Linked DNA regions of Oreochromis niloticus. The protein of the gene in region 1 purifies or fractionates together with the protein of each later gene. This does not show direct contact. Links are inferred from orthologs where the notes say so. Each region holds a gene or a part of one and is shown on either strand. Other genes may lie near its edges.

Evidence for each region.
Region 2: the proteins of cdk19 (region 1) and med31 purify together in Homo sapiens (affinity purification with mass spectrometry; 6 studies listed by BioGRID and IntAct, counting the BioPlex papers as one, with this or other methods). This does not show direct contact. The link is inferred for Oreochromis niloticus from reciprocal best matches to the Homo sapiens genes CDK19 and MED31.
Region 3: the proteins of cdk19 (region 1) and med18 purify together in Homo sapiens (affinity purification with mass spectrometry; 5 studies listed by BioGRID and IntAct, counting the BioPlex papers as one, with this or other methods). This does not show direct contact. The link is inferred for Oreochromis niloticus from reciprocal best matches to the Homo sapiens genes CDK19 and MED18.
Region 4: the proteins of cdk19 (region 1) and med9 purify together in Homo sapiens (affinity purification with mass spectrometry; 7 studies listed by BioGRID and IntAct, counting the BioPlex papers as one, with this or other methods). This does not show direct contact. The link is inferred for Oreochromis niloticus from reciprocal best matches to the Homo sapiens genes CDK19 and MED9.

Annotation. Positions count from the first base shown.
Region 1 is NC_031980.2:31,094,391-31,101,872, reverse strand, and holds the start of cdk19 (cyclin-dependent kinase 19), read right to left. Parts: upstream 3,017-7,482; 5' UTR 1,992-3,016; intron 1,904-1,991; 5' UTR 990-1,903; coding exon 862-989; intron 1-861. Other genes in the region: amd1 (S-adenosylmethionine decarboxylase proenzyme), read left to right, coding at 3,383-3,492, 6,983-7,069.
Region 2 is NC_031975.2:31,352,671-31,359,257, reverse strand, and holds med31 (mediator of RNA polymerase II transcription subunit 31), read left to right. Parts: upstream 1-4,027; 5' UTR 4,028-4,208; coding exon 4,209-4,218; intron 4,219-5,009; coding exon 5,010-5,084; intron 5,085-5,166; coding exon 5,167-5,263; intron 5,264-5,377; coding exon 5,378-5,594; 3' UTR 5,595-6,059; downstream 6,060-6,587. Other genes in the region: slc13a5a (solute carrier family 13 member 5a), read left to right, coding at 292-453, 739-876, 973-1,101. UniProt on the Homo sapiens protein: Component of the Mediator complex, a coactivator involved in the regulated transcription of nearly all RNA polymerase II-dependent genes.
Region 3 is NC_031976.2:26,228,925-26,236,065, reverse strand, and holds the start of med18 (mediator of RNA polymerase II transcription subunit 18), read left to right. Parts: upstream 1-4,122; 5' UTR 4,123-4,280; intron 4,281-4,305; exon of another isoform or gene 4,306-4,542; intron 4,543-4,708; 5' UTR 4,709-4,738; coding exon 4,739-4,811; intron 4,812-6,477; coding exon 6,478-7,034; 3' UTR 7,035-7,141. Other genes in the region: uncharacterized protein LOC109204220, read left to right, coding at 75-275, 358-468, 591-631, 740-850. UniProt on the Homo sapiens protein: Component of the Mediator complex, a coactivator involved in the regulated transcription of nearly all RNA polymerase II-dependent genes.
Region 4 is NC_031969.2:20,679,930-20,685,849, forward strand, and holds med9 (mediator of RNA polymerase II transcription subunit 9), read right to left. Parts: upstream 1,345-5,920; 5' UTR 1,265-1,344; coding exon 1,185-1,264; intron 982-1,184; coding exon 762-981; 3' UTR 506-761; downstream 1-505.

The DNA.
Region 1 (7,482 bases):
CCATCTGTATAATAAGTTCATCTAATGCTTAAAATTAGTTTTTCCATCTCAGATTTCGAGAAAACTTTATGACAAAGCATTTGTAAGACGGGGGCAGCAAAATCAGCTCTTAATGCACTGTGCCCTTGGTTAACGGTGCTTTTCTTGAATGTAATTTTTAGATCAGAGTGATTAACCACTTGGCTATCGTACAAATGAAACTTGTAGTATTCAAATAGGATGCGCACTGGCCGGATTTTGCCAGTTTTTTGGACTGGGATTTTGCCAGTTTGCATAAGGAACAGTGACACCGTTGGCACAGCAGAGCAGAAATGTGAGAACGTATCTGTCCTGCTTTCTGTTGCTGATATATACATCGTGGTCACACGCTGTCATATGCTTGTCAGTGAGTGTAAGCAGCAAATGACAGAAAGAAAACAATGTGTGTCAGAAAGAGGGAGAAAAAAAGTTTGGCATTCCACAATGCTGAAAGCGGGGCCAAGAAAAGACGCTGAGGTGTCACTATCGCGCGAAGTGACGATACCCGTGCATCAAAAAGCAAGCTACCTTTGCTGCGACCGCCAACAAGACACTTGTAAGAAAATAAACAGCACCGCGGCTTTACACTGTTGTTTGGGGGTGTTGGGGAGGAGGAGGAGGAAAGGGGGGAGCTGTGAGGTTGGGGACGGAGGAGGAGGTGGGGGGGACCGTTGGTGAGTGAGTGCGTTACATGAAAACAAAAACACAGAGACACGGGCTATCGCTTCGGGGAGCTTCAAATCGAACGCCCTGTTCATCACATAACCGAGGCGTGTGTTCACAAAATGCATCCCGCGGTCAGTTTTATGTCAGCATACACAATAACGTTCACGGTTATCTTACCCGTCTTTGCGCTTAGCTTTATAAACGTGCCCGTAGGTGCCTCGACCCACTTTGCAACCTTCATATTCGAACAGATCTTCTACTCTCTCTCTCTCGGCCGCCAGCTTTGTTTTGAAGTCGTAATCCATTTTAACCCATAAATACGCCTTAATTTACAATAAAATAAAATATTAATTATAACATGCATTAATTAAATAATCTGGTCGTTTTATTCCCCCACCATTTCCTTGTTTGGGATTTTGGTCTGCTCCGCTTAATGTTCACTGGCTCGTTGACGTTTCTAATTGGCGCGCGTGGCTCGCTGGGTATGGTAGTTCTTGTGAGCAGGCGCCGCAGTTCGCCGCGTTGTCAGGCAAGCTATGGCAAACTACAACCCGCGTTTCTCGCTGCTGTTTGTTGCACTTTGCGTACTCATGAAAGCTCTTCAAAAATGCGGCCGTCGGTGGTTTGAGGTTACCTTTTTTTAACGTCACGTAAAATGTAAATGAGCTAAACGGATCCTCGTTGGCTGGATTATTATTATTATTTAATGGTCGTAATAATAATGGTATTGCAAAAGCCGAACAAATGTGTATTTATGCAGTGTATTTATTTAATATAGTTAGAGTGACCACTTCCCACCAAACTAAATGTGATCCGAAGGGTATGGGATCTATTACAAATTGTTTAAAGATATCAAGTGCTATGTGTAACCTAAGAATATTTGCAAACATCCTGGGTGTTTTGGGGGTTGTTTTTTCGGGGGATAATATGAGTTTTCCAACTTCTTAACTGTTATTTTAGCTGCTGTTTTTTCTGATAAGCATCTAAGGGTTTAAGAGGTCGCTGCATCTCTTTTTAAGACACAATTTTTGTCACAATCTGGTTGTAGAACTCAGGGGCAGAGCGGTTTGACGTCTCCAAAAACAGTTTATTTACAGCACCAGTGCACAATATATACAGTGAAGGGAATCCAAAACTCCAGGGAATCACAGGGTAGCTCTCTCACGTCTTCTTGCCCACACTCACACGGCAGGGAGGTCACAGGTCCGAGGAGGAAGGTCTGAAGCAGAAGAGAAGGGAAGTCACAAACTAATCACGAATCTCAAATTATTAAGCACAGGTTCACAGGAGCTGTGAGAAACACTAACGTCTGTAGTACAATCATCCAGCGACGAGAGAATCTGTGTTCCAGCCTCAAATAGTGCTCCCGGTGATGACAGGTGATTGTTGTCAGGTGTGTGGGCCAAGGGCGGGAGCCCACAGTGAGCTCCGCCCAGTCAGAGAGGGAGAGAGAGAGAGAGAGAGAGAGAACTTGTAGCCTTGTGGGGCCGGTCGGGCAGGCACGGAGACCATGACAGTTTTCTTTTGAGATTCAGATTGATTTTTTACTTTTGTGAACTACAGTCAGCCAAAAAGAAGAAAAAGAAGAAAATTGTTTAGTGCAGTTACAGCGGTAAAGATATGAAATGTCTTCCATAAATACAGGTTATGAAAAAACAAAACATCATGATGGAAGACCCTTGCCTTCTATAATAATCGATAGGTTTTTGACATGCACACACACCTGTATATGCAGATGTAGTGATGTCATGTCATATGTATGTGATTCATACTTAATTACTGTAATTATATTGGGTGACAATTGTATGTGTGAGTTCCCACTGCCCTGAATACTATGAGATGAGACAAGTAAGTCCTGTAACACATACAGTAGATATTTATTATCCTTTGGGATTTCTTTCACCTATTTTCCTTCTATGAGTACACTCTTTTGCTAAAATGAATACCTGCGCAGTCCAGTTTAGTTCAATCCAATTTAACAACTTGGTCATATTCTCATTTAAGTGGTTTATATTTGATATTCGCAGTTTAACATTAGTATTATAGTACCATTAAGTGAAAAAACAAATTACACATCTTAAAAAAGAGAGAGCGTACAAACGAAACATTAATGTGATAAGTAAACACAATGGCATGTGTTAGAAAAAAACGCAGTTACGTAATCGTCGTGAACAGAAGAAAACTTGTCAGAAAAGGACTTTTACACGAACATGCCGTCAACTGTCATACTCGCCTTCGTAAACTTAAATTCAGATATCATGTAATGTTATTGACGTTGCTGTTTATATATATAATTAGTATTTATTTCCAGAGGAAAGCTACATGCAGGCGGAAAAGTTTCATGGCGGAAGACCCGCCTTCTATTATAATTGATAGGTTTCTGACCAATCACAAATCCCAAGATATGGCTTTGCGTTCAGATTGGCTCGAGGTGAGGCTTACGTAGGGCTACTGCCAAATAAAAGCACCGCGCGGTCTCCATTCAGCGCTTACACAGTATGGCCGGCGATATTAGCTAGCGCTCGCTAACGGTATTCTCTGCTAAAGGGAAGACGGTAACTCAAGCAAATCAACTCCTGGATTGTTTAAAGGACTGAACCTCACTAAATAATAACAGGTCGAGGAAGGAGTAATTAAGCTGTAAACGTTTTAAACGACGTTGTAATATTTTTGGTTGTTGGGTGTCTGTTGTCTCACGATGGAAGATAACGGTGCACATTTCTTCGAGGGGACCGAGAAGCTGTTGGAGGTGTGGTTCTCTCGGCAGGATGAGACCAAAGGAAACGGAGACCTCCGTACCATCCCAAGGTTCGTGTCACTTGAGTATCTCCGAGGCAGTGTCAGTCCACAGCAGCGTATTGGTACATTGACAGAAACACCGGCTACATGCACGGCTTCAGTTGTCACTTTTTGTGATGTATAACAACTTGAATATCGTACACGTCCCGTTTCCGTTGACACTGTATTCATTATAGTTATTAATCCACCCCTGGATAGACTGCAAGCATTGAAGTGAACCAAATCTAACCGTGGCTCCTTAAGCTAGGGAGCTAGCTAACGTCGCCATTGGAAAATGGCCACCTCCCCCTTTTAACAGTGGCTGAGTCATTCATTCTTCACCCTGGGAGCTTGCGGTAATTAATATATTCGGCTCCCATCGCTTGTTTTTGCAAGTTGATTTGTCGCATGAGGCTTGGACGCCACCATGGCAACCAGTTTAGAGCTACCGCAAGCTAGTCCCTAGGAAAAAATATTCAAATTGTCAGCCGTCTCCTGATTTCGCCGACGCTGTGCAGACTGCTTGTGATTTAGTGAAGAGGCGATCATATTGTCGTTATTTGCCAATTCGCGTTCACTGCTACATATATATATTCGTGCTCTTATGCACTAAATTGCTTGGTCTTTGTAATTACATATGCTTTATTTTTTCCTGCGTCACTCTACAACGAGGGGGGCATGTGAGACATGTGGTCGTCCGTTGTCACCGCGTGTTGCCTTGTTGGCACGGAAATAGATTCAAGTATTCCAATTCCACCTTTAATTTAAAAAAAAAAATAAATTCTTTACTTTTGAAGGCTCATAAGTGATTGGGGAAAACCGTGAACCCGTCCCTCTGCCCTTGTGGATACTACAGGCTGGCCCCATGTCTGTTACCGCTGTGCGTTTAACCAGAGAGAAACTGCGTATGGTCGTGTTCCGGTCACGTTTTCGGCCATGCGGTGCGCTCGCTCCCAGTTGCTCTGATTGGTTAGAGGGTTCCCTGTTACGTTGTGCCGCGGGGCACTTGGTTACGTTTAAGGACAGGGGGTGGCGATAGATTCTGAAAAATCCATGTGGATTCAGTTCTTGTGAGAAATTCGGTTTTTGCTTGCTAGGAAAATTAGCTGATTTGAAATGCACGTTTTAAACAACCTTTAACGAGGAGAAACCCTTACAGGCAGACTTGTACCGTGTGTCGTAATCAATTTTTTGTTTCCAAGACTTTAGAGGAACTTGTCCCAGTAAAACTAATAGATTGTTTAAAATCGCCTGGGTTATGTCACCTATAGAGGTAAGAATGGTACTGATTCTTTAATGTAAGTGAAAGTGTCAATGGTGTCTGTTGCCTTTGCTTAGTGTGGTGTTTTTTTTGTTTTTTGTTTTTTTTTCCCCCTCTGGCAGCATGTCATTTCATGACTGGTTCAAGGGGGCCAAATCATCCCCAGCGATGGGTGACTTTTTCTGGTCGTTAACCACATCAGGGGCTGGTTTATGACAAGTGTGTAACCATTGGCGTGAAGGAGAGCTGGCATTAATTTACAGCCAGAGGGCAGATTAACGGCTCAAAGGGACACTGTCAGTGGATCAGACTCGATGGACGTTAGCCAATGTCCAAATAAGACCACAAGGGCATCGGATTCACAAATGTGAAGCTCGCTCGCTCACGTTACCTCTGCTGCCCCTTGTCAGGGTTCAGACTGCATATGAAACACTTCCAGTGATTGTAGGAGTGACTAGTTCATAAAGTCACAGCATATTCACCTCTAAACACCTGAAATGCAGTGTTCCCGGTGTTCAAGCCATCCAGTAAGTGACCACTTTTCTGTCTGATAAGCAGCAATTGTTCCAACATGTGCCGTCTTGATCAGCCATGTGTTCATAATCTCTGGGATACATGAAAATTCTGATCGTGTTTGGCACTTTGCTTTCTTTGAGGAAAATATTGTCTTGTTGCACAGCTAGAAATAACCTCTGGTGTCGATTTCACACCGAGGCAGGAGCTGACACAGCTTGCCAATGCTTGGCCTCTGGTATGAAGCTGGGAAGTAGGCATGTCGTAACAGCTCTGTCATGTTGCGGGAAGTGATCGAGCTGAACTGTATCCAGACATACCTGTAATGCCTTTGTTCATCTTCCAAATACACTGTTGACATTGCAAATGATATAAATATGATTAAGTAGAGTTTAGATGGCACTATATGCTCCCATTCTCATCAGGCTTGGCCTTGATGGCAAACTAAAGATGTTGAGTCTTTGCATTGAGGACAATGCCAAAGAGAAGCTTGTGTATAACAAAGCCATCTTAAAGGCACATCGCCTGCAGTTCCATATTTAGAGTAGCTTATAGCATGATTTAGAGTTCATATCATCTTGCTCCAATGTTGGTCCTCAGTGCAGGACCTTTGTCTTCTGAGACGTGCAGTTTGGAAATCCTTCACATCCTTTTATACAATTTTCTTATGCACAAACTAAAAACCAGATTTTTATATTGGTGGTGTTTTGGGCTCACACAGTATACAGAGCTGGAAGTTGAAAACTGATTACTTGTTCATGTGTTGACCTTATTTGAAACTTGATATTGGAGCACATTTGACTCAGTGATACCATACTGCCCCCCCCCCGGGAGGGGGGAGGAAGTGATGTACACAACAGATGACGTAAGCCTGTCACTCTCTGAGGACAATGTTGTTAAGGGATTAGATGAAGTGTTTGTGGCACTGGAAGGTAGTAAACATATTTGTAGTTTAGTTTCTTGGACCATTAGGCTCAAATGCAAAAGGCTGCAGTGTAAATTGTACTATTCTTGAATTTGGTGTCTTCAGAACCATGTCTGAGGGATGCATTGTTATTTGGTTATTTGTTTTTTTGTTTTTCCTCAGTCATCTAGTTCATTTGTAGATTGACAAGGTAGAAAGGAACATAATTGGGTCTTGCATTTTGCCCACAGCCTTCATGCATACTGCTGCAGTCTGGTTACTCAGGGGCATTTGTTTTTGAGAGGTTCTCTAGAAAAGCCAGTTTCATAAAGCATTCATTATTGAGCTGCTGGTATGCTTTCATCGAACACTTTACCTCTTGGAAGCTTTGCCTTGCAGCCCAGGCCCCCACTGTGAGTGGGTCTGGCTGTTCTTCCAAGGTTGTAATGTGACCCAGCTGTCTGGGTGGTGTTCGGGGGGCAGAGGCAGCTGCTAGAAGGTGTATGTCTGCTGTAGGAGCAGAATAAGTCCACATTTCCCTACAGCCATCTGCACATGACTGAAAACACATTTCAGTCTGAACAATACCTCCATTGATATGTCAGTATTGTATGCCCACAGCATACTCTAGCACTGAAATTGTTATATGCACTTACTTTTTCAGCGTAAAGACTACAGCAAGCTTCATAGACATTTCTCTTCAAAATCCTGAAAGCATTCCAAACTTGTCCATGTTACATAACCATCAACAGTTCTTTCGTGTAGTGGGTGCCACTTTAAAATGACCACAAAAGTGAACAACTTTGTCTTTGTATGCATTTAACTTGTTCTTTTTCTTTCAGGTTTGAGTGGGACAAACTTTTGGAAAATGTGCATTGTTTGATAATAAGTGTGACAAAGACCGACAAGCAGGAAGCTTATATACTCAGGTGAGTGCCTGCTCATACATGCAGAAAGTCTTCCCAAATAGACCTTAACCTAATTTCCATTAATGGCAGTCTCAGGTGCCAATATGGGCATGTACTCTACATGCCACATGCAGTCCTTAGATAAGTGTGTAGTTGTGTTAAGGTAGGGCAAGTATGGGCATGTCAGATAAAACTAACACGAAGCCTAAACTGAAACCAGTAAGCTACACTCATCTTGGGTAATCAAACAAGTATGACAAGTTGAATGGGAACTAGGGTGTGGCTTTTTTCCCTTCCTCCTTTTGCTCACCTGTCCTTTTTGTTTATAAAAAAGAGGGGGGGAAAGCCTTCACATGACCTTTTGTAGATATTACAAAGATACCAGGCTTACTTAATCATCATTCTGTATCATAGAATGTAATGAGGGAAACAAT
Region 2 (6,587 bases), on another chromosome or scaffold:
CTTCTGTTAAATTCTTTTATGCAACCTTAGTTTTGATATTTGTAGAAGGAATAAACTAAAAATACACTTTGATAGCCAAGAGAATAACACAACTAAGACTTTGTGAGTAAATGAAAACGAAACGACTCTTCTGCTCTGTATGGGCACAGTGCAGATGGTTTAATGAGATTAAGTAAATCTTATATAATATGGAAAAGTAAAGACACCAGATCGAGTTTTCATTAATAGTAAAGAGAAACCTTTGCTTTCAGACTCAGACTGAAGTCCTGCTTTTTCTTGTCGGTTTTTCAGGAGTCTGGTTTGTCACGTTGGCTCGGTGATCAGATGACGCCGCTCCACTCAGTCCCTCCGTGGGCCATCGCCATCATCCTCTGCCTGCTCGTTGCCACCTTCACTGAATGTGCAAGCAACGTTGCAACAGCAACTCTCTTCCTGCCCATCCTGGCTTCCATGGTACCAAAAACACAGGCAACACAGACTGTATTTGTACATATGCATAGTGTGATGTAACAGTTCATTATCATCAGCATACAGTAGAAGTACAAGCTGCTGCACTTCCTACAGATGTTTCATATCATAAGGTGACAGAGAACAGAAGGAGCTTCACCCTTTGAGCCACTGACAGACGTTTATTATGATACATCTGAACAGGAAGTGTTGAAATGTAACAGGAAAAAAAGCCATTGAAGCCAGTTTATCGGTAAAGTTGATGACTCTGTTGTCCTTTTCCTGACCCAGTCCCAGTCCATCAGCTTGAACCCTCTGTACGTGATGATCCCCTGCACCCTCAGCGCCTCCTTCGCCTTCATGCTGCCGGTGGCCACCCCACCTAATGCCATTGTGTTTTCCTCCGGTTTCCTCAAAGTGTCCGACATGGTGAGTTCTTCATTTCTTCCAGTTGGAAAGAAATAATCATTCTGATTCATTCTGTCATCATAGCCTCCTCTTCCTCTGCCACTGTGCCCCCTACAGGCTAAAACAGGTGTGGTGATGAACATCATCGGCATCGGCTGCATCAGTCTGGCCATCAACAGCTGGGGTCGGGTCCTGTTTTCTCTGGACACTTTCCCCTCATGGGCCAACGTCACTGCACCCGTATAGGAGCAACATCCTCCCACATCTTTATTTATGCACATAAAAACTTTTTCAGGTTTGATCTTTCAGCTCCAGCATCTGGGCATTTCCCTGCAAGGAGTTTGTTTTTTATATTCGTGCTGCAGCACTTTCTGAGCCACCAGAAACATCATCTTGATTTTGTTGTTTGTGTCATTGTGCATGTGCACGTTCTAGTAAACTGTCTACAGAGTAGCATTAATGGCAATTAATGGACTCCCACATACAAGGAATATAGTCTACGTTACCTTTGGTGGATTGAAAAACTAGATCTACCTTTATATGTTTGTACATGATGGTGTTAAATAAATACACACAAACTGAGGTTACAGTTTAACATAGAGTGCAGGTTTTAGTATTTGTTCATAGTGTCTTTAAAGCAATCTTAGTGCCAAACAACAACAGCTTCATGCACAATTCCAAGTCCACAAGTTTTAAATGGATTCTTAAAATGAGCTGGACTGTGGACTCTAACTACAAACATTCAAATTCTTGTTGCCCCTTTAATTATAAAAAAAAGAACTATTGAATGACATTGATGAACATTTAACAGCTGAAAGAAACCTGAAATTAAAAAAAACATCACAGGCTTTTAATTTGAAACATCTTCAGAAAGCTGTACTGTCAGGAGTGTAATATTATTTTTTTAAAGGCATCAAAAAAGATGAAGAAGCTGAGAAGGATGAAGGATGAAAGCACATTGTGAGTAAACCATGGAAACACGGAGAAAGTTTAACAGAGGGTGAAAACAGGACCTAAACAAGATGATTATAAAACACTTAATAAAGTGTTGTCTGTAATAACAATGTCATATAAAATTGTTCTTTTTGTTTGAAGTAAAATAAGAAAAACTGCTGCTCCTGATATTTATCTGCTCATCATAAATGTGTGAAACTGCTTGTTAGCAGGTGTGCCACAGGGCTCTGTTTCAGTTTATGTTAATGAGATTGTTTCTTCTGCAGAGGATACTGTATTATAATTTTCTTCCTGATTGCTGTGAAGTTTTTTTCTTTGTGATTATTTCGCTGTTCTGTGTTTTTTATTTGGAGGACTGACTCTAGAAGAGCTGCAGCAAAACTTTACTGACTGGGAAAATTCCCAATGAAGAAACCACTATTTTCCCTGTGAACTGGAATTATTTTAGCGTAATTAGTAAATATGCTTCACATTTTATATGGTTTATATTTAAACATAATAACACAGTTTTTATGCGAGCTGATGAGTGTGTTCTGTACATATGTGATGTTTTGTACCATCTTGTTAACAGTTTTATTTCATATTAATAAAGATCGATCTTTAAATGCACTTTTTGTAAATTCTGCTGGGTTTTTTTAAACGAACATCTTCCAAAGTGAACTAAAGTTTGAACAGAAACAAACAGAAGCTTGGATTTTATGTCAAAAACATCTAAGTTTTATATTGAAGTGATATCAGCTGAAGTTCAGCTGATGCCAGGCTGCACTTTCATGCCGTTTGTACCAAAAAATGGTGCAGTGCATCGATGTGGCTGAAGAGCAGGACACTGACATTGAGGATAAGACTAAAAAGAAGAATTTTAAATTAAAACAACACACATCCAGGTGAAACTCTGCCCCCCAGTGGTCAAACTTTTAGCTGCAACTTTTATCTGGGGGAGGAAAAATGTGATTTGGACAAAATGATTTACTTAGATAATTAAATGATTCTTTTGCCACTTCAAATGTCCACTAAACATTAAATTAGCAGTGTCCAATATTAGTGGGCATGCTTTTCACTCTGCACTTGCTTTGAAAGCAGTGACAGGGTCTAGTCTAGGACGTCACTCTTGTTGTCACTCTTGTTGTCACTCTTGTTGTCACTCTTATTGGTTTTGGCAGAACCTCTCAGCTCAGCTATGTTGGCTGCAGAGATTGAGTGACTGCCAGGTGCAGCTCTCTACATAGATGCTTTATCAGGTTCATGTCCAGTCTCTGGCTGGGCCAGTCCAAGCCTTCCTGTGTTCATGATGATGTGCTTTGGGGTATTGTCCTACTGAATGATCCTGCTCTGCGTTTGTTTTTCGCTCTATGTTAAAATACAACATCCCCACATCCCTGCAGTCGGTGCCTGTATTCTTCCACTCATATCACTGTGTGTTGTGTCACAATATTTGAACTTTGGTTTCATCAGACTGGAAGATTTTGGTGCTGACGGTCTGATAAGCATTCGGGTAACTTTCTGCAAACTTCCAGCAGACTTTTATATATCTTTGAGCACCAAACCTGGAGATTCTGCAGGGGTGAAAAGCATTCGGGTAACTTTCTGCAAACTTCCAGCAGACTTTTATATATCTTTGAGCACCAAACCTGGAGATTCTGCAGGGGTGAAAATTAGACTCTGCGTGTGACGGTTTACACAAGGACAACATCCAACATATTTTAGAGGGTAAACAGGAGAGAACCTTTACACTGACAAAGACATATACAGCCAATATGTGTTCAAACTGAAGAAAGCTGTGCTTTGTTTTTTATACTAATACAAAATCTAAAAAGAAAGGTTCTTAGTTTTGTGTATAAGTAGCAAAATGTTTTGAAGGATTGTATAGAACAGAGGTCACCTGTGACCTGAAATAGTACATGATCACAGTCACAGTATTAGCACATTAGTTGGTTTTCTCATCATCTGACTGCACCCTGATCAGTATAGTAAGTACATCTTCAGTGCTTTTCTGTGCATGAAAAAATTGTTACTATTATTATTATTATTATTATTATTATTATTATTATTATTATTATTATTAGTTATCCTGTGAATATTGCGCTCACATAAATTATTATTATTATTACATAAGTGTAATCAAGTTATTTGTGGTAGTTTGAAGGAGCTTTTTTCTTGTCGTCTGTTGCCTCCCTCTGGCGGCCAAACAACGAACAGCAGGCGGCGTAAAGCGACGTAGATGTCGCGAAGACGGCGGAAGTTTTACGTCATTTAGTCTGCACACGTTTGATAGCAGCGATTAAACCTGAAAAGAGCAAAACCCGGCTTTCTTTTCTTATTTTTGCCTTTTAAACATTTTTAGACAGTTTATCTGACATTTAAGTCCTTCATCTACTTACTGGTGCCTTCAGGCTGTAGCCATGGAAACAGGTTTGTAGCAGATTGTTTGATCAATGCTAATCTGCTAGGCTAATATTTCCTGCAAGACAAAACACCAATAAATCCGTAAGTTTTACTTTGTTGGCTTTAAAAGCCTGTCTGTGAGCAGCTGATGGTATTTAGATGTGCTCTATCTTGTTTTTCTACTTTGACAACGAGGCTTTTCCCAAACCGACAAAGCGGCGTTAAATTGTCACTTTTTTAATGGAGTCTGGCGGCGCTGGGATTACTGGTTTTATTTAAGGGAGTTAAAGGGAGCAAAGGTTTGGTTGTTTTTAAATGTGGTTCAATGTGTTGTTAAATACGTTGGTATACTCATGATTAGCTTTAAGTCAGGCTGCAAAGTGTCGGTCTTTTCTGTCCTGTTCACTACGTCGCAAGAAATTATTCAGATTAAGAACAAACTTGATTTATCAGCTTAAGTGAGTGTGTTTGAAGATAACCGGGAATGGACTCTGAAGACTGTACTCTGAGACTCGCGCTTTAATTCGGCTCTCAATAATTCACCGTTACATTAAATTTAATTTCCAAACTGCCTGTTTAAAGTTTTCAGGGTGGATTAAAACAATGTGTCTTTAAATTGCTATTTTTTCTAATGGAGTCTGGTATAAAAACATGCTTTCTCATGGCTGTGTTATGTTGGCGTGTGTGTAGTGTGAATTGAATCCTTTGGGACATTATTACTGTAATTAAACACGTGTGCTCCTGATGATCTCAAGATAATCGGTGTTGTTGGGTTTGAATGTCGTGTTACTGATTAACTCGTGTGCTTCCCGGTGCAGAGGAGCAGGCCAGGAACCGTTTCCAGTTGGAGCTTGAGTTCGTCCAGTGTTTGGCGAATCCCAACTACCTGAACTGTGAGTGATGCTGTGATCAGAAACTCTCGCAGCTTCACGTTTGCCAGAGTTTGACGGAGATTTTGTGTGTTTGTGTTTCCAGTTCTGGCTCAGAGAGGCATCCTGAGGGACAGATCCTTCATCAACTACCTGAAGTACCTGCTGTACTGGAAGGAGCCCGAGTACGCCAAGTTCCTCAAGTACGGCGACATGTTTGATTCTTGGTTTAGACAATTTTCTGTGTGAGAGTAAAGTTGTGATGTTTGTCAACCTTCTGTCAGCTGACCTCTGCTCTGTGACTCCGCCCACTGCAGGTACCCCCACTGCCTGCACATGCTGGAGCTGCTGCAGTACGAGCACTTCAGGAAGGAGCTGGTGAACGCTCAGTGCGCCAAGTTCATTGACGAACAGCAGCTGCTGCACTGGCAGCACTACTCACGCAAACGCATGCGGCTGCAGCAGGCACTCGCCGAGCAGACGCAAGCGCAGCCGCAGACGGCCCCGCCGCACGGCAACGCCGCCGCAAAGTGACGACGGAGTTGGAGCGCTGCTGGGATGCCAAGGTTATTTCTCCATTCACATGAACATTAAAGACTGCAGGGGAGGAACTGAGGTGGGAGCTGATCAGCTGATGGGAAGCATCAGCTTTGACCTTCCTGTTGCAATTTTCAAGTTAAAATTTCTCCTGGATTTATGGATGTGGCTATTTCCTGGAACTTGTCAGTCCAATGGTCTCAGCAGGAAGAGACCGAAACAGATAAGACAGCAGAGGTTATAATTTAAAGTGCTGCTGCTCAGTCAGGTCCTACCAGCTGCAGAGTGAGCTCCTGCCTGATGGGGCATGTTTTTACCTGCGGCGATCACCTGAGTGTCCAGTTGAGGGAGAGGGGTGTGGTTGGACCTTTTTTTCATCCTTTGTTCTAATAAAATGTTTGAAATGTGAAGAGTTTGTTTCTGTTTGCGTGTTGATGAAACCAATAAAGTTATGCAGGCTTCCTTTGTGTTAGTCAGCTCAATAACAACAATGACCTCCTACATCCTTTTCCTAACCTCTTTTCCTTGACCTGAAATATCCTGATGTGAAGGAAAGGTGGGAGGAGACTCTTAGAGGAGGTGGTCTGATGCAGGTCACATGAAGAAGATCTCGCTTCATCACAAAGAGAATTCTATCACGGCCAGTAAAATAAAATAAATCGGATTTTCTTTGCTTTTCTTTTTTCTGTCAGAGCAAAGGTTCACTCCATCATCACTTCTACAGCAGAGCATTAAACAGTGATTCAGTGAGGGTGGCTCATGATGTACATTTTAAAAGGAAACGCAATCCTTCTATTTTTAGATCCAATTTAAAAATTGAACTATTAAAAACAGATCCTGTGGAAAAGAGCAGAGCAACAAGACAAAGCAAAGCATCCCCAGGCTGCAGAGCCTTGAGCACAAGCGACAGACAACGACACAACAGACAAAGAGAGAGAGCCCTCCTGGACCCTCTGTTTATTGGGTGTGTTGTTACCTGCTGCTCTCAGC
Region 3 (7,141 bases), on another chromosome or scaffold:
AGAAACTAACACACAAACATCATTGTTTCATAGTAGAAGATAACCTGATGTAACCTTTTGATCTTTACTTACAGTATATGACAGTAAGGATTCATCTGCATCTTGTGCTGTGACGTGCGGCATGAAATCCAATAATCCAAACAGAACTTCAACTACATCTGTGCATGTACATTCACACGGGTCCCTAAAGTGCAATATAGATTCAGTGTTTGATGGATACACTACAGTTACTATGAGTCCCACATTTAGCACAAACGCATTTAGCACAACAACAGGTGGGTGTTTAGCCATATGCTGTTTGTGAACCTTTTACACCTGAATCAAAGAAATAATAATATTTAGTTTTTGGTTCCACAGGTTTTGAAAAAGAGCCTGAAGACTGGATCCCACTTATTTGTGGTATATCAGTATCATGTGTCATTTTAATGGCATTTATAATTTTTTGCTTCAAATCAAGATTACATTCAGGTAGGCTATGCAGCTGCGCCTTACTTCCACTTCCTGTGTATTTCATTGTTTTGTTTTAATGGTTTGCATGAAAAATTTCCCCCCATGATTCTGAATATACTTCTGCTTCTGTCTCACCAAAGCATTTCCTGTTCAAAATTGTTGCTGTGGCTTGAATAGCAGGGTAAGTATCTGTGCTGACATTGAGGTGTAACCTAAAACTCTCATGCAGAAATGAAGTGTGTGCGTGTTGCTTTGTCTGGGTAATGAAATTTATTGCTTTTTACTGCAGGTGGAAGAGGAGTCTTCAGTGGTTTATTCATCAATTATCATCAGGACACCTGGCAAAAGAATTAATCACATGGCCTCTAGTGATTGTGTTTATTGTGAAATAAAAGTATAGAGAAAAAAAGGTCCAGGATAAGTGAGGTCACTTTTATTTATATAGCACATTTTAAAACAATATGGATTGGTCCAAAGTGCTTTTCAGTTGACTGTTAAAATAGGTAAGGTCATTAAAGGGCACTGTTTAGAATTATACTTTCCATCCTTGCTGTCATTTGATTTAGTAACTAATTCCTCAAATTACTTAAATTGTAACTTCACCCACATGTTGCTCAAGGGAAAATCTGAAACCATGAGTCTCTTTTTCCAACAAAGGAATGATTTCTAATCGAATCTTTAACTGAACTTTTACCTAATTCTCTGAAAGCCGGGCAGATGTATATATCTATATATATATCTATTTACTTAGCACTTTTAACTTTTATTTTTATGGTTATTTAAGCGTTGTTTGACAGTATGTTTTGCACTAAGTACCACAGCAATTTCCTAATGTTGTAAACCTGCTCAACATTTGGCAATAAAACCCTTTCTGATTCTGATTCTGGGTGTTTTAAAGTACATGGATCGATAATTTTAATGAGAGGCTTTGAGTGTGATACAGATGTTATGTAACAACATTTTTTTTGTTGTTGTTGCTCAGTACAGAGGTGAGGTCCATTCATGAACTGCATGAAAGCACAGTTTCTGGTTACCTTGCAGATCAAGTTAAGATAAAACAAATGTAGGTAAAGAAGTAAAGTTGACCTCAAAATGTTACAGCAATTAAATGCTGCTTTCACAAAGAGAAACTTTATCAGGTACATTAAGTTACTCGAGCTCAGCAATTAAAACAAATTTACAAACAATTTATATTTTTTTGTTAAAAGAAAAAAACACTTATTACACTAAATTTATTTTACAGCTGTATTTTGCTTTGCAGTTTTAGGTTTTACATAATCACCATATAAAATATGACCGCAGTAAAACAGCATCTAAGCAAAAGGTTGCATGAAGAAGGCTGTTAAAAGTGTTAAAACCGCAGCAGTGCTGCGTCTGCAGTGTTAATCAATAATGATCATCAGTGATAGCAAAACAATAACACCCTGCAGATAAAAGGTTATAGTATGATTATTACTGTGAGAAATATGTGTGTTCATACTGTGAGGACATTTTGGTGAGGATAGTCACTGAAAATAATATTTTGGATCCTTTTATTTGTTAAAGTGTTTTATTCAAAGTAAAGTATACAAAAAAAGTGAAAACAATAGAAAAATAGTCTTAAGAAATAAACCAAAACTCACTAAATGCGTTGTTTGAAAAGGCAACAGACAATAAAAAAATATAAAGGAAATGTTGTTTAGTCAAAGATGGAAACACAAAGAGGAGGCTCTGGTGAAAATGACTGTGAGTCAAATGTGTTGTACTGTACTGTTTTACTTATATTTGACCTATGTCACTAATACCACCCACGTCATAAAAACAAAAACACCAACACAGAAACTAATAAAATGCAAACTTATCATTTAACACTTAAAAACCAAACTGAAATCAGAAAATCCACCCTGAAAACTAAAATAACACCAAAATCAAAGGTGGAAAATCCTAAATTAAAATAACAATGGCAGTATTCATAGCAGTCATCTCCGAATAGCCTAAATTGAAAACAATTTGAGTACCACAACACCAACCAACAGAGACAGACAGGACATGACACACAGGACAAACCACTACATCACGATCTGTCATTGGTGGCAGTGTGCACAGCTCTAAGGAAAACAAACCCAAATAAGGCAGCTGACCCAAATAATATCCCCAGGCATGCACTCAGGGTCTACTCATCAGAGCTGGATGGTGCATTCATAGACATATACAATCTGCCTATGCTTTGAGTCCACTACCAGTGGGCCCCTCTCCAAGAAACATACTGCCACATGCTTAAACGACTATCATCCTTTTGGACTTACATCAATTGTGATGAAGTGTTTTGAAAGGATCAAAAAGACCATCCTGGCTACCTTGGACTCTTTACTTTATGCACACATACAGAATCAGTCCACTAGAAGGTAGTAACACGTCTGTGAAAATGCTGTTCGTTGACTGAAGCTGCATTTAATGCTGTCAGACTCACACCCTTTCTCTGTAACTGAGCTCTGAACTTCCTGTAAGATAGACCCCACTCAGTCAGAGTTGGAAACCAGACATCAAACATCAGAACTGTGAGCATTGGTATTACTCAGGGGCATGTGCTGAGTCCACTGCCACATGCTCTCTTCACATATGAGTGTGAGCATCCCCCTAATCAATACCAGAATTATAAAATTTGCATATGAAACTAAAGTAATTGGGCTGATTACTGGCAGGGATGGCATAGAGAAGAGAAGTGAAATGACTAGTGGCCTGGTGTCAGGAAAATAATCTTGCCCTAAATGTAGATAAGAGCAAGGTGATCTGAGGAAAAGACACTCCAAGACAGAGGTGGAGGACACACATGAGGATGGATTTCACCTGGTCTCACAACACCCAGCAGGTAGTGAAGAGCACATTGACTGTACTTTCTAAGATGACTGACAGGGCTCAGCTGCACTACTCAAGACAGGAAGACTTCAGTGTGCGAGAAAAACTGCACAATAAATCACAGGATCATCTTTTCATTAGTATAAGACATTTACACCACCAGGGCTGTCAGCATTGCCCACATCAACATTAAATACAACACAAACTCACAACACCACCAGTTAACAGGTAGGTGGTAGATGCTAAAGGTAGATGCAACAGGAGTCTGAAATCAAAGACTGTAAGTCTCAAATCAGACTCATGAATAAGACAGTCAGTGTCGCCTCTCTTCTACCCCATCAATATTATTGACTATTAGTGTACTTATTATTACCTGCTATGGCATAAATTTGTAAAGACCGGCTTGCAAATATGGACAAAGCAGGTACAACTCGGGTTTTCAAACTCAGGTCTGTTTTTAAAACTAATTTTAGTGTTTGCATTTTCAATACTTGCAATCTTTGTAAATTTTCTGGATTCTTTATTTTTATTTTATTTGAATAATTATGTTTGTTTTGTGTCAAGAGATTGGCAAAATTAAGTGTAAACTACTGCTTTTATTTCCACTGTATGTATGCCAATAAAACCTCTAAACTTAATGCTCAGTAATATATACTTTTCACAGTACTGTGAAAACAGTAATAGTTTCCACAGTACTGATAATCCATTCGTATAGCCTGTGTTAATAAAACCAGAGTACCTATAGTCTAAAAAGCCTGTCTGTCCATGACGTCCATGTCCATTTCTTTCTATTTTATGCACAGATGACCTGCTGTCGATATTTTTAGCACTACCAGTAGGTGGCTGTAATGAGCCTCAAAGTTGGATGTCTACCGATTTGACACACCAAAGGAAGACGCTTCTCATTCATTGTTGTTGCTAACTGTGTTCACTTTTTCTTTCATAACTAAAAAGACGTTTATTTCTTTCCGCGTTCGCTTCTTTGTTTTTGAAAGGTAATATATTTTTAATGTTTCTGTAATAACATTGAAACGCTTAGCCTGGTAGCTTAAGTAATGTTGCGGTTAGCTACTAGCAAACCGAGTAGCTGTGTAGTAGTAGCCGTGTAGTAGTAGCCGTGTGTTTAGAACCCTGTTTAGGCCTTTGGTCAATAGTATTAAAACGTTATCGAGAACGAACACTTAAAACATTTACCCGGTTTTCCTCGGCTACTGCTCTTCGTGGTTTCGTAGACAATAGTGCAAACTGTTGTTTCGAGTGAGTTACACTTAGATTAGTGTTACCACCGGCTATTAGCGAGCTAAAAGTTACAAACTCTGTTACCTATGGCGACAGGTGGAAATTTTTTGTTAATGATGGCATTGCTCCATCAGATGTTCCGACATGTATATATATGTATCTGCATATAATTTTCTTTCTTTAGGCCCAAAAACCTCAAAGTACCCGAGGAAAGATGGAGGCGCCACCTGTTACTGTAATGCCTGTCACTGGGGGCACAATTAACATGATGGAGTATCTGTTACAAGGTAAGATATCATGCATCCGCTGAAGCAAGTAAGCAGGTAAATAACTAACAAGCCCTGAGTGTTATACATAGCATATAGTACTGATAGTGGCAATACTACAGATAGTAGCTTATAGTAACAAAAATGCAAAGCAACAGCAATAATCATTTAATAGTTGCATTGTGCAACTGTTCAGCACAATGAGTAAAGTTACATCAGCAACAGCCTTTGGTGTGAAAGTGAATAGTGAATGAACAGTGTTACATATGTCACGTTTGACCTAAATTATTATGCACTAGCTCCTAAATGGTAAATGGTAAATGGCCTGTATTTATATAGCGCTTTCTAGTCCCTAAGGACCCCAAAGCGCTTTACATATCCAGACATCCACCCATTCACACACACATTCACACACTGGTGATGGCAAGCTACGTTGTAGCCACAGCCACCCTGGGGCGCACTGACAGAGGCGAGGCTGCCGGACACTGGCGCCACCGGGCCCTCTGACCACCAGTAGGCAACGGGTGAAGTGTCTTGCCCAAGGACACAACGACCGAGACTGTCCGAGCCGGGGCTCGAACCGGCAACCTTCCGATTACAAGGCGAACTCCCAACTCTTGAGCCACGATCGCCCCACATGACCCAAATAACAGCTAAATTCTTATTATAATATTATTACAAATAATTTTTAAAATGGTGCATTTACAATGTTTAAAACCTTATTTCTTAACTTGGTCACTCTGTTGTAGAATACTGTGGGTCTTCTCCTGGACCATTGCAGATTTGTTTAGAAAATGTATGGTCCAAAGTTTGGCCATTTATGATTGCTGTGACATTTTACCTTGTATCAAATACTTTTCAAGATATATTTTCTTTGAAATATGGACCATTGACCCTCTTCCAGCATTTTTTTTGGTCATACTTTGAAACCAGATGTTTGAACACAAATATCTGTTAAAGATAATAAAGAGAAAAGGATATGATTTCCATATCCAGATCTGCAGATCCAATCTGTAAAGTGTCATATTTAAACGCACACCAATTTTTAATGGTATACAATTGAATTTCACAATAATGCAAAATGGAAAATTATTTCTTAGTTATAAAAATGAAAAAAATCTTTTTTGGGGGGTTTAAATTTCATGCTGCATTGAGCAAATGTGAAGTTGTACCACAAAAACGAAAAATAGTAATGCATAGTTTAACCCAAATAGACCAAAATTCTAAATTCTGGAGGTTTCAGATGGTATTCTAATTACAACAGTAAAAAATATTTTGATTTATTGAGATAAGTTTAATAAATCAAAATGAGTATTTCATGACCTACTGAACTGTCTTATAATTTACACTAGGTTTAAAATATTACTGCGTGTGCCCTGAAAGTGGGTGGATGTGTTGTTTTTTTTTTTTTCTTTAAAGGAAAATCCTTGAGGTATTTGATATATGAAGCAAAAATGTCAAAGCAATCATTATATATGTACAAACTATGGACGATCTAAGATAGTTAAGCCCATAATGTCTCTAAAAATATTATGATTTGAGTTTGTAATGTTTAAAATGTGAGCTCTTAGCTGTTGATTTTCTCTGAGAAATGTTAATGGAGACTATATTTATAAATATAATATGTATAGAGTCCTAGCCAAATGTAATTTTTTGTATTTGTTCCTTGTGCACTTTATTGAATCAGGGAGTGTGTTAGACCAGGCCCTGGAAAGCCTCTTGCATCGCCTTCGAGGTCTGTGCGACAACATGGAACCTGAGACTTTTACCGATCATGAGTTGGTTTACCTTCTCAAAGGCCAGCAAGGAAACCCCTTCATTTTGCGTGCCCGCCGTTCCCTCTCCCACCCAACTGCTCCATGGCACCTACGCTACCTTGGTCAATCTGAAGTGGGAGACAAGAGTCGCCACGCTTTGGTACGCAACTGCGTTGATGTTGCTGCCTCTCACAGCCTTCCGGAGTTCCTCAATGAGATGGGCTTCCGCATGGACCATGAGTTTGTCAGCAATGGACACATATTTCGTAAAGGTGCAATGAAAATTGTGGTCAGCAAGCTGTCACGCATACTTGTACCAGGGAATACAGAAAACACTGAGCATCTATCACTTTCATACCTGGTGGAGCTGAGTGTGTTGGCTCCTGCAGGACAAGACACTGTGTCAGAGGACATGCGCAGCTTTGCTGAACAACTCAAACCCCTGGTTCACTTGGAAAAGATTGACCCTAGCAAACAGAGACATTAGCCAGTTTTCCACAAAAAGGAACTCTCTCCGGGTGACTGGGAACCTTGGGAGGGACTCCATGAGTTTCCACCAGAGGAACTAGGTCTAAGTCAACTTCTGAGGGAATT
Region 4 (5,920 bases), on another chromosome or scaffold:
GTGAACTAGCTCGGCTCATAAATCTCTGTGTAGTGCAGTAGAAGCTCTGAAAATGCTGTAAATCTGTCTCTATTTTAGCTTTCTAAGAGCAGCATTTGAGGAAAAAAGAAACATGTTTACACTTCACTGTGCTTTTTCAACCATGGTGAAACTTGATTGTTGCATTATGATCAAATTTAATGCTAAATGTGTATTTATTGTCTACCCTGACTTTTGCATATGAAAGAAAATAAAACTTGTTACTTTTATAGTCTGCCTCCCCCTTCTTTTTCATTTCAAGCAAATCTCAAAGAAGTTGCATTAAACACAACACGGCTTCACACTCTTCCCGGATTTCGGCTTCCCTTAACTGGAAAAATGTTCTCCATCTATTAAAATGCGGAACTTGTTACATCATCCTGTCACGTCACAAACATGCAGATTAAAACTGCAAGAAGCCCTTAAGAAGCTCACCATGGTTCATAGTCTGTTTTTATCTATTCCGAATAACCTTAAAGGGCGAAGCTTATATAAAATACAATTTATTACAAAGTATCAATATCATGGGATTCAAAAAAGTGAAAATCCCAATTTAATACAAATATCATATAAACAAATTTGCACTGTGATAACACAAATAACAAAGACAAGTTCAAAAACATGTTGCAGTCCGACACAATTGAAGAAAAGACGGTTATTATTTCAATGTCCATCCGGTGTTCCTGAATCACGCCACCTCCACTCGCTTCCTCCATACTGCGTGCATACAAAGTCTTTTAGTATCATGATGCTTTGGGCACATCAAACATGCAGAGACTTTTATATTTCTGCAGCAGCTGGTTCTTCGTGCGGACCTGTTCCCGCAGCGTGGCCAGCTGCTGCTGCTGCTCCAGCGGACTGCTGTCTATCCCCGGCATGTTGGAGATCTGCTCCCGAGCCTCCTGGATCTTTGCCTTTAGTTTACCAAGTTCTTGGAGGACATCCTGGTTGTCTTTGTCCATGCTTTAAGCAAATGGGGAAAAAGAAGAGGGCGTCATCCGTCTGCTTTGTTATTGCAGACACTTAACATTTTTAGCTATCGACATTAGCTTCAGCTAACACAGCAAACAAGCATAGCAACTCCACCAAGCGACTGACACAAGCAAGTGTTGCCCCGCGCATACAGCACACAGTGTGACAACACACGAACCAATAAATACTCTTACCATTTAATAATATCATGAACTAAAGGCAGCAGAGAGCAGTCATCGCTCTCTTTGTCAAGCTTCGCCTGAGCTGTCGCCATCGCTCTTCCCCAGCTTCCCGACGCAGATTGTTTACGTCAGGCACAAACCTGATGACGTCACTACACTCGAATTGTAAAAAACTAATAGAAATATTTATTTCTGTTCATTCGACCTTTTCGCGATATAGTGCTACATTTTGTAATTGGGTGGATACGCACTGTGTACTGTACGTATTTTCTTCGTTTACCTGGATCAGGGGTGTAAAACATAAGACCAGAACCGGCTGGCAAAGACTGCAATCCGGCCCACTGGATGCTATAAAAAGTGTGAATGAGTGTATATTTTTTTTGACTTTTAAAGTTATTTTAAAAACTTTTGCATGCCCCCCCCGCGCGCGCCAGAATAAATACATAGTGTTTTACACATTTACATACAAATTTTACACTTTTGATACATTTCTTTCATTTACTACAGCAGCATTTCTAAAACTGTTAAAGTCGCTCTTCTTTTTCAAATATTAAGATATCGCTGTGATTAAATGTGCAGTTAATTCGCTGGTAGAAAGGTTCACCCCACTTAAGATAAAAGTGGGCTGCATGTGGGCCACAATATAAAATAAGTACATTCTTGACCTGGAGTTCATAAACAAACACACACACATTTACAGAAGGTATTTTTGCGTGTTTTTTTGCTATACAAGTCCAGGTTGTGTGTAAAACTCATGAAAATAAAGTAAAAAAAAAAAAAATAAGTAAAAAAAAAACAGGACAAAGAAGAAAAAGAGCAATGAATGAATGAATGAATGAATGGACATGCAGACTACACAGGTAAAGTGAATCACACTGAAAGACAAAATAGAGGAGATTAGTTTTTCATTAAAATGTTTGAAATAAATAAATAAAAAGGCAGAATGAACATTTTGTCATTCCTTTTGCTGATTTAGGCTCTCTTTTGCGCACCTAACGGACTATGAAAACACAAAAGGGAATTTTGACCTCAAGAGATATAGGCTGAAAAAAGCTGAGGAAGAAAGGATGTCAACATCATTTTTCTTTAAAGTGTTTTCATTGAATTCATTACACAGCATCAAGGAAACGAAGGTGCTGTATTCTCATCTTGAGCCTAAGGTGTTAAAGTGGCGGTTAGCCTAAAGCTAATTAGTAGGGCTAAAAATGAATACAATTTGTCCTTCTTGTTACAAAAAAAGTAGAAAATGAAAGTAGCACATTAAGGGTTTTACAACATACATCTAAGATTTCCTCAAATAGATAACAAGAGAATACTAATCCTCTTGTTTCTCTGTCTCTCTCAGTCATTTTTAAGCATGTGTGCCATGAGGTATTTGCACAGGCCTAATATGAATTTCTATTTTAAGAGAAACCCATGAAACCTATTTTTTTTTTCCCTACTGTTTATGCTAAAAACGTTCCCCGGGTGTTTTTTTATTATTTTGAATGAAACCCACGACAGCACGCACTGGCCCCTAAATAAGCCCCAGATAATCCATTAATACACCGAGCAAACAAAGCTGACCTGCAATGAGTGGGAAAATTTGCTTCACATCCCAATACCTAGCAACCTGAAACATCTATATCGGCAGTAAATGCAATCTACTATCCCTACAAGTGTGACACATGTCATGCATGTTGAGTGAAGCATGGCAACCCATATAAACTTTGACATGCACAAATATAATCTAATGGACTACAATATGTCCTACTGCATTTATATTTTACAGATAACTGATGTGGTGTATTCAGGTTATAGAGATTAATGCAGAATAGTGGCATTCGATAAACCTAGAAAACATGATGTAATCAATACCTTTTTTAAATAAATTGTCATGGCTGTGCAAATATAAAACTAATCTGTCTTGTCTTCCCTTCCATTGACCCATATTCCTGGGAGATTAGTCACCAGCAGGTCTCTGTGTTGGTCATTAGCCTCATTGGCTAATGACCAGTGACCAACCTGATATCTTCAATGATTCTGCAAGAGACTCATCTAGTGTTTAACTAATGATAGAAAAACGAGTTAATAGAGACCCTTGATAAACAACATCACAGCTCATAATCTGCACTTAGATGTAATTAAGAAATTTGTGGTTTCATTTAAAAAACAAAAGCTCAGTAGTCTATGCTATAGCTGGTTAAATTATGTGGAATCAATTCTATCTCTTTATCTGATCTTCTAAACCCTGCTGACCTATATTTTTCATGGCTATTTGTTTTCATCAAAGCTTAATTTCAGCAGCTGCTCCCTTCCTCTTCCCTTGCCTGGCACACTCATTACCCACACCTAGTAAACACTATAAGGAAGCATTCTCATTAGTCACTGCAGCAATGAGACCACCTCTGTGACACAGCCAATGAATATTTAAGATCATCTTTATTAAGATTTAACTTCACATTTAGATGTGCAGCTGAGGAAACATTTTCTCTCATGCCTCACACTGTGTGGCATCACTGAAGATCCTACCAGAAGCTCAGTCCTCACACTAATTTCCAGTATGACAGAGTGTTACATACTGCTCAAACTTACATGAGTTAGTACAGGTGACCTAGATTGAGTTTGTAGGGCATTATGTTCCCTAAGTGTTTTACCATTGGGTCATAGGGAAAGCTCTGACACCTCACATTAATACATTTTAAAAAGCAGGTCATTTTGTGACCCAGCATTATTAGAAAGGTATGAAAATATCCCAACGGCTACAGTAGAGAGAATAAATATCACATTATTATATGAACACAAGAATTTAGTTCATTGACTTTATTTGACTGAACATTTTTTATTTGTGGTGTGGTCTGGTTTTTAGGCTTCTTGAACATTAGTGACATCGTCTTTAGTCCTGTTCTTGATACTCAAGTGACTATTCATTCGGAGAAAACAGTGACAGTGATAACATTAAGTGAAAAGTATGAAAAGCATTCAGAAATGAAACATTTTAATTATGATTTATATTTTGTTTTATTGTAATTGGCCTACTTTGCATAAAACTGCAAAATCAAATACCTGTTGTCAACCCCTCGAGGTGCAACTGAAAATGTTAAGAAAATGTTAATACATTTAAGGAAAATCCATGTTAAATATTTATTTTTTTAAATTATGGATTTTAAAAATGCTTCTGTAATCAATCTAGTCATCAGTTTTCTTCTATTTATCCAGTTTAAGGCTGAAGCCTATCCAAGCTGCCAAAAGGTGAAATATGGAGTACCCCCTGAATAGCTCACACTCTACTGCAGGGCTAACAGAGAGAACAATGTGGCAAATTTAAAATCACTATTAATGTAACCCCATGCATGTCTTGCATGGACTGTGGGATAAGGCCAAAAAACCCAGAGAGAACCCATGCTGACGCAGGGAAAATGTGCAAATTGCACACAGAAAGGCCCCAGCCAGCCAGTGGATTCAAATCCAGGACTTACTTGCTGCCAACAGCACATACGAGTCAACAGTGCTGGGGCGTGCTTCTTATGCTTATGTAATATTTAGTGAAAATGTCAGTGGCTCTACTTTTAAGTAAAGTGCCTGAATGCCTGCAGAGGTACTGAGGTTTTAGAAAATATCACAGGTAGTAGTGAAGGAATGATGATTTGTATATGCAGTCACATGTGTTCTGTGAGCTCTAAACATGACTTTCAGCTCATAGATCTATTCACACTTGCATGATCCTTCATAGTTCTCAAAGATCACAGTTCTCACATCTAATCATCTCAACAGAAATAGGCAGAAGAAGGGAGAAGTCAATTTTCAGATGGGAGGTAGGCTGAGGTTGATATTTACAGTTGTCCTCTGTGAAATTTCACAGAGGACAACTGTAAATATCAACCTCAGCCTACCTTTAATAAACATTACTGGGAAGGATATACACTCTTTACAGTGTATATCCTTCCCAGTAATGTTTATTAAAATGGAGTATGCATTTACGTGTTTATGGTTAGCTATTCAACAGAAAAAACTCTTCTAAGTAGTTCTTCTGTTTTGTTTTCTGTTTGGTTGTTTGCTTTTTCTTTTTTTTTTACACAAAGCTCCTATTTTATTTCTTACTTGAAATTTCTTGAGAAGTATTCATATCATCATACTTCAAAACAAAGTGTGATTTATTTATTTTCTAGCTCTGAACATAGGTTTCTATGCAGGAACTTCAGCAGTAAAAAACCACTTTGCCCTGGAAAATATCTCATGTGGAGCCCAGACTAAACTTGTGATTTATAGCTAACAAGGGAATTATAGATAACTTTTAAGCCTGGGTGACTTTAGGATGTTTCCAGTTGAACCCCTATATAGCAGTCCCCGAGTGGCTTGCCTTTCCCCACTCAGCCTCTGTAATGACGTGAATGGGCAGCTGACAGTTTCCAACAGATGTGTCACCTCCCAGCATCTCTGACAGGATGCAGATGTCCTGTCTGCTAATCTGTGGTCTAATCTTAGCATGCATCTCTATATGAAAGACACAGTCACTGAAGCTGTGCATCATTAAAACAAATCGTTTCCCAATAAAATGAACTTCTCTTGTATTATTTAGATTTAGGGCAAAGTGAAAGTTTTATTTGACAAGAGATTTGCTCCCATCATGTGAATCCTGGTTTCATAAAAGTTTCTAGGAAAGATGCTTTCACAAAGTGTCTTTATGTGCACCAAAGAGCTAGCCAGTCAGCTGCTGGTCATAATCCAATCCAAATTTGCATTTAATTTAATAAACACTACTTCACTGC